3 linked regions of the Schizosaccharomyces pombe genome follow. The gene in region 1 interacts genetically with each later gene. Each region holds a gene or a part of one and is shown in the gene's direction. Other genes may lie near its edges. The genes, in order: fin1, ypa1 and alp16.

Region 1 (3,758 bases):
TTTTTGTGTTGAACAATGACTTTTTTACCAAGACCAGATTGGGATTGGAAATGGGCATCAGCATGCACGGGAATAGACATTGAGGTTTCGGAGGAAGAGGCATCCGTCATTTCCAAGTCTTTATTGCTGTTTCTTAACGTTTTCGGAACATGCTCCTTCGCTTCTGCGGGGCTGTATATACATCCAACCATAAAAGAGTCATTTATCAACATTCCGTTAGACAAAACTGCTTTGGCAGCAGAAGAAGGCTCAGCATATGTTAATTGTAGCCAGTTACCAGATATGGGACCCTTGGAGGGAGTGAATCCGGCACTTGAAGCAGTTAATGAATTCTCGCTAATAATAGTTCCAAAACGAGAAAATTCAGCTATTACTTGATTTGTCAATTCTGGTGGGAAACCGAAAACGATAACGGAGGTATTTGAATCTTGAGGAGCGCCAGACATGGTAAAAGAAGGGTCGTATACCTTTTCAGAGACAGGAGAAAAAGGGGAAGAACTTTGTCCAACATTGAGAGCATTAATTTGCCTAGAGGAAGAAAAGTCATAAATGGATTGAGTAGGAGGAGCATCTTCAATTAAAGATCCGGTACCTAAACGATTTGTATGCAAAAACGGTTTCGGTGTACCAAAGCTGGGTCCGCCGAATTTTGAAGAAGGGGGACTCGAGAGAGATAAACGGAAGGAAGAGCTATTTAGAGAAAATTAGTAAAGGTTCTAAGAGTTTATGTCTAATATTTAAAAATTCATAGGGATTAGGCTGAAGCTCTAACAAATTTGGATATAGATAGATATTAGGTAAAAAAGCAATTATACTAAACAATTTTTTAATCCTCCGTCTTCAAATGTCCCTTAAACTCTTCAAAGAAATTACTTACGATGACTCATATGGTTCTGCTAAAGGCGAGCTAACCTCTGGGGCAAATCGACGCTGCTGACTTGATCCAAAGTGTGAAAGATGACTGGGAACAAATTTTTTTTCTTGTGGAATGTTAGAAACAGATGTTCGAAATCCACGATATTCTTTTTGAGGAGAGGGCGAACGTAAATCATCGACAGAAAGTGGCTTTAAGGTTGATCGATTCGTGATAGAACCACTTCCCCCAAAAGACATGTTTCCGGCAATATTACTAGAGTCTTGTGATAGACTGTTGTGTAACATATGTTTTGCAACGTATATAAATTAGCGGTAAGTTCATTTGAAGGAGATGGCTTGCATGGAATGAATCATGAAGCCTAGCGTAGATCACTAAAACCAATTAACGCAAAATAACAGTTTATTGTTAATGCTATTGATTTTTATAAAACATGCAGATAAATCTTTTGAAAGCCTCAAACTAATATTAATACGTTTAGCTATTCATTTTTTTAAAACTTGATTTAAAGGACTCTGTTAAATTCCAAGCTCATTTACAACAAACCTTATACAATCATGTCATAAAAGGCATTATAGATGATAAAAATTCTCCACAACTTTTTCTCATTGCTTATTGAATAGCGTATCTTTTTCTTACAGAAATTAAAATGCGACTGGATATATATTATAATCGTAGCAATAAGCACCTGAAGTAACAGTGTTACTCCTAACCATGGCAACATTGTTTACACTTGATGATTTAACGAGACACTGCAGAAGAACCAAACATAAACATCTTGGCTTGAAATTCATATACTTAGCACTCAATCACTCCAAGCAGTATTTTTTATATTATTAATTGATAGAAGAATTTTTCTTTTTCTTTAAAGGTCCTACCGAGAAATTTAGTTTTATTTTAAGCTTACCTGAATCTCATGGGCTACTTCTGTTCTGAAGTATGGAAAAATACAAGATTCTTGAGTGTATTGGACATGGGAGTTTTGGAAGGATTTATAAAGTAAGTTTTAATCTTATTTTCACTGAAATTGGTTATTGGATAGCAAAATTCTTTCTTGTTTTCAGTTTATTTGCGAGCAACTACTTGTGGTTGGCAAATGAATCTATAGCATTGAATCAATTGTTTTCTTAAGAAACAGGGAAACTATATTGATTTAAATGCTTTTCGCTATTGTTTGTACTCTATTCAAAACAGTTTTTCAAATTGAAACTTTGATCGATATTTTTTTTTGCAACTCCTTTTTTATGCATTATGCTAACTATTATAGGTTCAACGCTTAAAGGATGGTGCTGTAAGTTTGAAAGCAATTTATTTTTATAGTTATTAATACTTTTTAGCTTTTGGCTCAGAAGGAAATACACTTTGGTAACATTACTCGGCAGGAAAAGCAGTACATCGCAGATGAAGTGAATATTCTTCGTAATCTTAAGCATCCAAATATTGTTCAATACTGCGGAGAAGAATTGAATCGTTCTGCGCAGGTAATAAACCTTTATATGGAATATTGTGGTCATGGTGATTTAGCCAATCTTATTCAACGTTATAAAGAAGAGAAAAAGAGATTTACCGAGCAAGAGGTTCTCAAATTTTTTACGCAATTACTACTTGCTCTGTATCGCTGCCATTATGGAGAAAATGCGCCTGCTTGTGACTCACAGTGGCCAAGAGAAATTTTTCATCCTAAACAATCTGTATTGCATCGAGATATCAAACCTGCGAATATATTTCTTGATGAAAATAATTCAGTTAAGTTAGGAGACTTTGGTTTATCCAAATTGCTGGACAATACGCGTGTCTTCACACAGAGTTACGTGGGAACTCCATACTATATGTCTCCTGAAATAATTCGGAGCAGCCCTTACAGTGCGAAGTCTGATGTTTGGGCTCTTGGCTGTGTTATTTTTGAGATCTGCATGCTTACGCATCCCTTTGAAGGAAGGTCGTATTTGGAATTGCAACGTAATATTTGCCAGGGTAATCTCTCCTGTTGGGATCATCATTACAGCGACGATGTTTTCCTTCTAATCAGGCATTGCTTAGAAGTTAATTCAGACCTCAGACCTACTACTTACCAGCTACTTCGCTCTCCTATTTTATCCGATATTCGTAGTAAATTGGAATCCGAGAGAGTAGTCTTGGAACAAAGCGATTTGCTTCATAAAAAACATCAGATGCTTATTCAATTGGAAAATGATCTCCAATTTCGCGAGCAAAGGCTTTCTGCTCGGGAAAGTGAACTCGAAAACGTTATAGCTTCTCGCTTAGCCCAACGTGAAGAGATATTGCGACGTGAGTTGGAAAAGCAACTGCGTGACATGGATGCTCGTTATCAAAGACACATGCAAACCGTAGTAAACTCTATGCAGAAAATGCGTGTTACAAGTCCTGTGGATCATAATGAACAACCTGAAAGCAGTACCGCTGAGATGTTTGTAGATTGTACAATTGAAGCATCACAATCCCCCCTACTTCATATTCCTAAGTTAGGAATTAGCAAGCCCTTGCAAACGTTATCGTGTCCGGGTTTCACTCTAACTACACAACAACCGATATTGAAAAGACCTACTCTCCGTAAAGAATTATCAAGCAGAGCCTTACATACGACTGCAACATTAATGAAATACAGAGCTAATGCGTCATCTCTAAGGACTACACCTATTGATAAAGATGGCCAAATTACATCGTTACAGCAAAAAAACGGCACGTCGAATCAAGTGGCGGATTGCATGAACAAGTTGCTGCACACATCTTTGGACGGAAAGAAGCTAAGCCCTTCTGAATTGTGTAATAAATTTTCAGACGGTGAAGGTTTACCAAATCGAAAAGTTAGCAAACTTAGCGTAGAGAGCGATGAAACGGCAGTGAGTGCTTCAAGTGGTGAATC
Region 2 (3,580 bases), 3.5 Mb from region 1:
GTGTGTATCAAAAGTAATTGATTTAGATAAAAATTCATAAGAGGAAATTCTGATTATAAGTATACCGAACACATCCTGCTTTCTTTAATTTTTTTATGAAAAAAGAATGATAGGTTCAAAAATAGATTATACCTATATAATATACAATAGTAAAACCCACTGCTAAATTAAACGAAAGAAAAGATTAAATAAAAAAGAGACAATTGGAATAATAGGTTACGACATCATCTTGCTATGCTTCAATTCGATAGCTCGTTTATAAGGAGGAGCGGTTGGAGGTTGTATAACGTCTAAGGTAGCCTTTTTCATATTTATTTCAACGGGATAAGTAGCGTCCGCATCATAACCATCAAGGTCACCACATGCAATAAATGGTGCAATCTCATGAGCATTGGTTGGATCGATTACACATAAAGGTTTTGTTAAATCGGGTTGAAAATTAGAAGGGGGGTTAAAATCTTCACAAACGACAAAGGACTCGATAGAGCTAGCACGAGAGCTTCTTGGTTTAGCACAAGAAACTTTTCGAAACATCAAACGAAGCTGAGAGTATAACAGTGAAACATCTCGTCCACGAAAAATTTTTGCAACAAATTTCCCACCAGGCTTTAAAACACAAACCGCTAAATTAAATGCAGCTAACAATATCTGTGCTTGAATATATTCATCTAGGTCGTGCAAACCAGTAACATCTGGGGCACCATCACTAACTACGAGATCAGCCGGTTCATTACCAAAGTGAGACAAAATAATTGAAAGGGTGTTGGGATGAGTAATGTCTAATTGCAGGGTGCATACCCCATCGATTGGTGCCATGGGTTGAAGATCAACAGCAACAATCATAGGTTTCTCATCTGCGGCAATGGAAGTATCAATGTTTTTGAGTAACTCACGAGACAAAACTTGAGACCAAGACCCCGGTGCAGCACATAAGTCTACAACTCTTTTTGCTCCTTCAAATAAATTGAACTGTTCGTTTAATTGGAGCAATTTGAAAGCTGAGCGGGCTCTCCACCCTTGTTCCTTCGCCAGACGATAATAGGCATCTCTCTAAAAAAGTGTAAAGTTAGTATTTTAACAAAATAAATAGTTAAATAATTATTTAGCAATAAAAAAAAAATGAAATAATAAACTAAAATGTTTCTATATGCGACTGAGAAACATTAAAGTTTACACATTAATATACGATATAACTTCGATAAAATTAACGTAAACTTTTCGCTACAAAGTTAAGTATTTACAAGGTTTCAGTAACGCACGAGACATACCTTATCTTTGCTGCTTCTCCCCATTTGTTTTTCAGTTTGGTAAAAACTGGTTGAAATTATTATATTCGTTTCTTGCATCGATTGTATTGAATAAACATATCGTTAAATATTGATTAGGAGATAATTATTTCGGTAGCGTATTGTTATGAAGTGGTTCGAATTAACATATGGATACATCACTATAAAGATTTTAGGATATAATCACATCCATAGTACTAATTATCGTTAAACTAATCTTAATCAAGTTATTGAATAAGCTAAATGCTTCTTCTCGAATACTGCTATTATACTCTATCTTGATGAAAGCAATATCAAGCTGTTTTTAAATGCTGTTATAGTTGCTGTTATATTCTTTAACTTGGTCCTGGTTTTTTTTAATAAAGAGTCGTTCATCAAAGCCTGTAACTTAGTGAGTGTCGTAAATCTATTGGCGTATACGCGAACTTGATTGATTCATTGTTTATTGCTTTACAATGCAAGTCGTAGATGAGAAAACAATACTAGAGCTTGAAAATGAAAGGTTTGATGAAAGTTCACAGTTTAAAACTCCCGAAAAACTAATCGTGGAGGCGAGCGATATGACGGCGTTTCGACAATCGAAAGCATATTATCGAATTTTTGATTTTTTACAGCGTCTCAATATTGCATCTGTGGGTGTGAACGATTATCATGTGGAATACTCAACAAGAGTTGAAAAGTTAGTACGAATATTGTGTAGAGTTAAAGAAATTACTAAAACTGTACCACCTGCATCAGGTCGGCATCGGTTTGGTAATCCTGCTTTTCGAATATGGCACGAAAAGCTACGTGACTCCGCCTCTCAAATTATGGACATCATTATTCCTGATTCATTGAGTAAGGCAAAAGTGGAGTTACTGGACTATTTTTTGGGATCGTTTGGTAATTCTCAAAGAATTGACTTTGGTACGGGTCATGAGTTAAATTTTTTGGGTTTTATTAAGGGCTTGGACTTGCTGGGACTTTTAGATGCCGCAGATTATAAAGCTATCGCCTTGTACATAACCCATGTTTACTTGGAAGTTTGTCGTGAGCTCGTTCAAACTTATCGCTTAGAGCCTGCTGGCTCACATGGAGTTTGGGGGCTTGATGATCATTTTTTTATTCCTTATATTTTTGGTTCTGCCCAACTTGCTGATAAGGCATCATCTTCCATCATAAAGCCTGATGCTATACTTAACAAAAAAATAGTGGATGAAAAAGCTAATAGCAACTTGTATTTTAGTGCTATCAAGTTTATAAACGTGATGAAAAAGGGCCCATTTTACGAACATTCCCCAATATTGTATGATATAACCGCTGTTCCTATATGGTCAAAGGTCAATCAGGTATGTTAAGAAGTGTGTATTTATTAAGCTAATTACTTTCAAGGGATTGATAAAAATGTACGATGTGGAAGTGCTGAGCAAATATCCTGTTGTTCAACACTTTCATTTTGGAAATCTCTTTCCGTTTAACCCTTTAGTTGCAAAGTAGTTTAACTTTAATCTTTCGTGCAATTTCAAAAACAAATAGTCACTGTTATTAATGTTATGTTTTATTTATTGTATCTTTTATGGTTGCTGATAAGCTATTTTATAGGGGCCAAAAGGAAGGAAAGCCCGCAAATTTACTGAAAAAATTTTTAATAAACCAAATTATCGCAAGAATAGCATTACTGTTATTGCATTATATTTTTTATAAGTAATACTGTTTCTAATACATTTAAATTTATTTACTCATTAAAAAGCTATCAAGGTTATTTACCAGTACCTTCTCTACAGACTTTAAGTCAGTAAAAACTCCTTGGTCTTTAAAACTGGTAGTGTTTTTTCCATATAATCCGCAACCCACAATGTAATTGAAATACTTAAGATCCGTACTAACATTGAGCGCAAGACCATGACTAGTAATATTTCGGCGTAAATGAATACCAATTGCTGCAATTTTATCGTTTTCTGTTACCCACACACCGGTGTTTTTTGTTGTATGAGCTTTTTCGATGCCAAAGCTTTTACATGTTGCTATAATCGCTTGCTCTAGCCTTGACACATATTCACGTGGACTTAATCCAAAGGACTTCAAATCAATAATAGGATATGCAAGTATTTGACCAGGACCATGAAATGTAGTTTGCCCACCACGCAATGCTTTAACAACTTTAGCCTTAGGGAAGCCTTTGGTAAAATTAATTGAAGATTCCCTTCTTCCCAGTGTATACACTGGACAAACTTGAGAAGTGATAATCGTTGGCTTCGGTGGCTGTTCAACCTTATTTGCTTTATAATTTAAATAATGTTGAACAAATCGATTTT
Region 3 (3,758 bases), on another chromosome or scaffold:
CCCTTTGAAACAGAGTCGATTACAGATTCCACTGAAATTGAAGGGATCAAAGAGTCTTTTGCATCTACAGATACAGGCTTACAGAATAATTCTACAGCTACCTCCGAGAACAAAAGAAGCGAATCAGAGCTGACTATGTCTAATGTTCTTTCTAATGAGGGTGACAGAAATGAAGAAGGTAGTGAAATCAACTCTTCTCAACCTTCAACTATTAATCACGGGACTGATCACATTAACATTGTTTCGGAAAACAAGGAAACAACTGTTTCACTGTTGCATGGAGATGTTGAGGTTGAGGAGACTACAAATGTTGCATTAAACAATTCTCAGGACACTGAAACCAAATTTACTGCTATAGACGTTGACTTTGTTGACCGACCTACTAGTGTAGTTTCAAGCCAAATTGAAAACATAAATGGTGATGAAAATGGAAACACAACTTCTTCAGTCGTCGAAACTTTTGAAAAAACAACGGATGTCGTAGATGAGAAAACGACTTCTATTAATGTGGAAGGAAACGGAGAAGATGATGAGGAGGAAGACAATATCTCTTTGCCAAGTATAAACTTGGAATCTGATAGTGATAGTTAGTCTTAATTTATAAAAAGGATTTGGGGGTACTGAATGTTTATTTTAAATTCTATTTCTAGATAAGTAGGTTGTCATTTAATCCAAGCTGATTTTTATAAAGTCCTGTATGTATTATCGTCATGGCAAAAAAGGTACATCAAGCTGATATTTGGAGGTTAAAATCAATTGATTTTGACCTCCAGAATACATTGCTTATGTGTTCTCCTTTTTAATTAGCTAAATTTTCCAGTAATACAAAGTACAAAGTCTTGTGTTATCCGCAAAAATTTTTAATTAATCATTTTTATACCATTGGTGTCACAAAAATCCCGATTATTTTAGAGTTAGACTGTCGTTTATGTTTTTTGAGAAAGAATTAAAACAACTTATCTAGTCTAGTGTTTAAAAGAATTTTATACTGTTTCATTAAGAATAATGAAGATATCCCTTTCCAAAGGCAAAAGAAAAGTCGATAACTATATAATGCAAGCTTCTAAACAAACTTGAATTAGTGATTGCAACATTTCTTTTGCCAACAATATTTAAATCCTTCATTGCTTGACACATGGTTTTATGAGAAAAATTAAGAAAGAACATTAAGTACTTCAAATAAATTTGTTGAAGGATCCAAAATTCTCCAAATAGACTTTTTTTATATGAAGATACCATTCATTCAGCTTTGACTCGCATGCGAGCTCTCTGGACAATAAACGATCAAGCCAGCGAGGTATACTGTAACCATAATATCACGAATAGTACAATAAACTTTTTTTTAAAAAAATCTAAATGTACTAACCAGAGAAGCATAAAAGAGCTCTTATAGTTCCATAAAGGATACGTTTTATCCACATAGCACTCTCTTAAAATTAAATGCTGGAATGTCGTTTTGGATAGATTATGCAATTGTGCAATAGTAATTCCTTAACAACTGATAGTTTTTGTTCAATTTATCATTCTGTTTTATTCATCCTGGATACCTTTAACTCCATGTCAGTATTTTCTGTTGTACGGCCACGAGAGTACGGATTTTTGAATTGGTTTCAATGTTAGGATCAATTACTAACGTTCCATTTCTTAGTTTAAGAGACGCATACTTCATTCACATCTTCTAATCCTGACTGTTCTAGATAAGAAGTCATCTTAATTCGCTACGTTAACAACATTATACATTAACTACACACATATTGCCAAATTTTAGTAATTCATAACAAGAGTGTTTTCCAGTAAAGGAGTTGGATCTTGAAATGTACCACTAAAATAGATGATTTTGAAATAAAAATGGAATGGATGGAATTATGAAAAACGACTTGTTATGGTTCGGCAACCACGTTTTCGACCTTACGCCAAATTCATTTGATTCTGATTTTGTCGAGCAGCTTTCGAAATTTGAGGGAAAAGAAGGATTGAAGAGGAAGTTATTTGACTCCTCGGAATACTTTCAAAACTTTTCATTTCAAGTAAACGATGATCTGTTGGGAAAAGATGTCATTCTCGATATTTCAAATCAACAACTAACACCCGCTGTGCCTGGGTGTGAGACATCATCCAATTCCAAACTCATAAGCGCATCTAAGGAAATTACTTCAGAAAGAAAAAGAGCTAAATCCTCAGTGTCCCCCTCTTATCTTACAGATTCATCACCCAGCGATTTATCTGTCGAAAACAAAGTTCTGCTAACATGCCCTAGCTGGGATGGAGAAAATTTTAAAAATTTAGAAGCTAGATCTCCATTCATATCTGAAGCGCCTTCTCGGGTATATGATTATTTTCTTCATAATCAGGATTGGAGTCCGAAACCATTATTTTCTGCACTGCAAGTTTACCCTTTAGCAACTATTTTCAATTGCGTGGCTGGTTTACCACAAGGATTTGAAAGCACAGTGTTTCCATGGAACAAAACCTCAAGCACATTTGAACTCGATCCGACCATCTCCGTTTCAGGAATGTCCGATGAATGTTTTGCTAGTATCGTCCAGAAATTTTCTGCAATTGGGGGTTTAATAAAAAAAGCTTTAAATGAATTCTCTTTATACAAGACCAACATTTCTTTTTATTTATCAAATTTCATTGTGAATGGTGTCTTGCAGTATCGAAAGGAGTTTCAGCGTTGGCTTCGTCTTTATGAGTTCCGTAGATTCGGTCTGATTGGTTTAAGTAACTTTGTTAATTCTTTTTCTTCATTCTTTGAGTTAATTTCACACTTCTTAATAAAATCGGCTCAAAACCTAAAAGGAGATTCCTTGTTAGATTTTCTTTTTGATTATGCGCGTTCATGTCAGAATACCATATCTTACCCCATTGCCCTACAGTGCTTGATATATTGCTCAAATCCCTACTTCAAAAGGCTTGAGCTTGCTTTAAAAGTTTCTTGTGCGTATGGTCACATTGATTCTTCATTGTTCTTATCACTTCCCCGTTTTTTTCCTTCTGAACTTTGTGTAAGCATTGAACAGTGTATTCAATTTTTGTCATTAATAAGGGAACAAAAAGAAATATTTAATAAAAACAACAAAGAATTTATTAACCCTTTGAACATTCGGTTCGCATATTCTTTCAACGACATAAATCAAGCTTGTGTAATAGAGGAGCGCTGCAACTTTTCTTCGCTTTCTTTTGGTAATTTGGAACAAACTTCCGTCAATAATGACAGTGAAGAATTTGAAACGCTGCTTGCTAAAATGAACATGACTCCAGATTTCAACGATAATTTATTACAACTTAAATTTACAGATGATGTGCGCAACGTCTGTCCGCTTAACTTGAATGTTTGCTGCTGTATTGCTGAGCCAATACAATCTTTTATTCTCAGTTTCTTACGTTCGACATATAAAGTTTTAAAAAACGATTTTCAGGTGTTTGATCTTTTAAATTTTTTTCATTCCACTTTTCTTTTTCAAAATTATGAATTCTCTGATAATGTCATTTCTCTGTTAAAATCAAGAAGGCTTGATAAATCTGACCGTAATGAGTTGGCTGAGGACTTGAACTCTGATGACAGATATAATTTTATTTCTCGATTGAAAAAATTCATTTTTATGGAAAAAGAAAAAAATGGGTTGAGCAGGTCTTTATCTAAGAGTATAACTTTTACATTGGATTCTGCGAGCGTTAGTGAATTTGAGGATGTGTACCCTGATTTACAATTCCAATGCCAAGTAATAGGTGCTTTACGGATATTATTTACTGAT

What was found.
Region 2: mutations in fin1 (region 1) and ypa1 together harm fitness more than expected from each alone (negative genetic interaction), as found in Schizosaccharomyces pombe (2 studies listed by BioGRID).
Region 3: mutations in fin1 (region 1) and alp16 together harm fitness more than expected from each alone (negative genetic interaction), as found in Schizosaccharomyces pombe (2 studies listed by BioGRID).

Annotation. Positions count from the first base shown.
Region 1 is NC_003424.3:1,352,547-1,356,304, forward strand, and holds the start of fin1 (NIMA-like serine/threonine protein kinase Fin1), read left to right. Parts: upstream 1-1,674; 5' UTR 1,675-1,813; coding exon 1,814-1,873; intron 1,874-2,141; coding exon 2,142-2,165; intron 2,166-2,211; coding exon 2,212-3,758. Other genes in the region: nucleoporin Nup40, read right to left, coding at 1-690, 878-1,113. UniProt on the Schizosaccharomyces pombe protein: Promotes chromosome condensation and nuclear envelope dynamics during mitosis. Activity appears at metaphase-anaphase transition.
Region 2 is NC_003424.3:4,834,654-4,838,233, forward strand, and holds ypa1 (type 2A protein phosphatase regulator), read left to right. Parts: upstream 1-1,541; 5' UTR 1,542-1,741; coding exon 1,742-2,614; exon of another isoform or gene 2,615-2,657; coding exon 2,658-2,762; 3' UTR 2,763-2,937; downstream 2,938-3,580. Other genes in the region: trm7 (tRNA 2'-O-ribose methyltransferase), read right to left, coding at 217-1,050, 1,269-1,292; lip2 (lipoate-protein ligase), read right to left, coding at 2,997-3,580. UniProt on the Schizosaccharomyces pombe protein: PPIases accelerate the folding of proteins. It catalyzes the cis-trans isomerization of proline imidic peptide bonds in oligopeptides.
Region 3 is NC_003421.2:432,770-436,527, reverse strand, and holds the start of alp16 (gamma tubulin complex GCP6 subunit Alp16), read left to right. Parts: upstream 1-1,741; 5' UTR 1,742-1,853; coding exon 1,854-3,758. Other genes in the region: ribosome biogenesis protein Rix1, read left to right, coding at 1-591. UniProt on the Schizosaccharomyces pombe protein: Component of the gamma tubule complex that is required for the regulation of both interphase microtubules and mitotic bipolar spindles.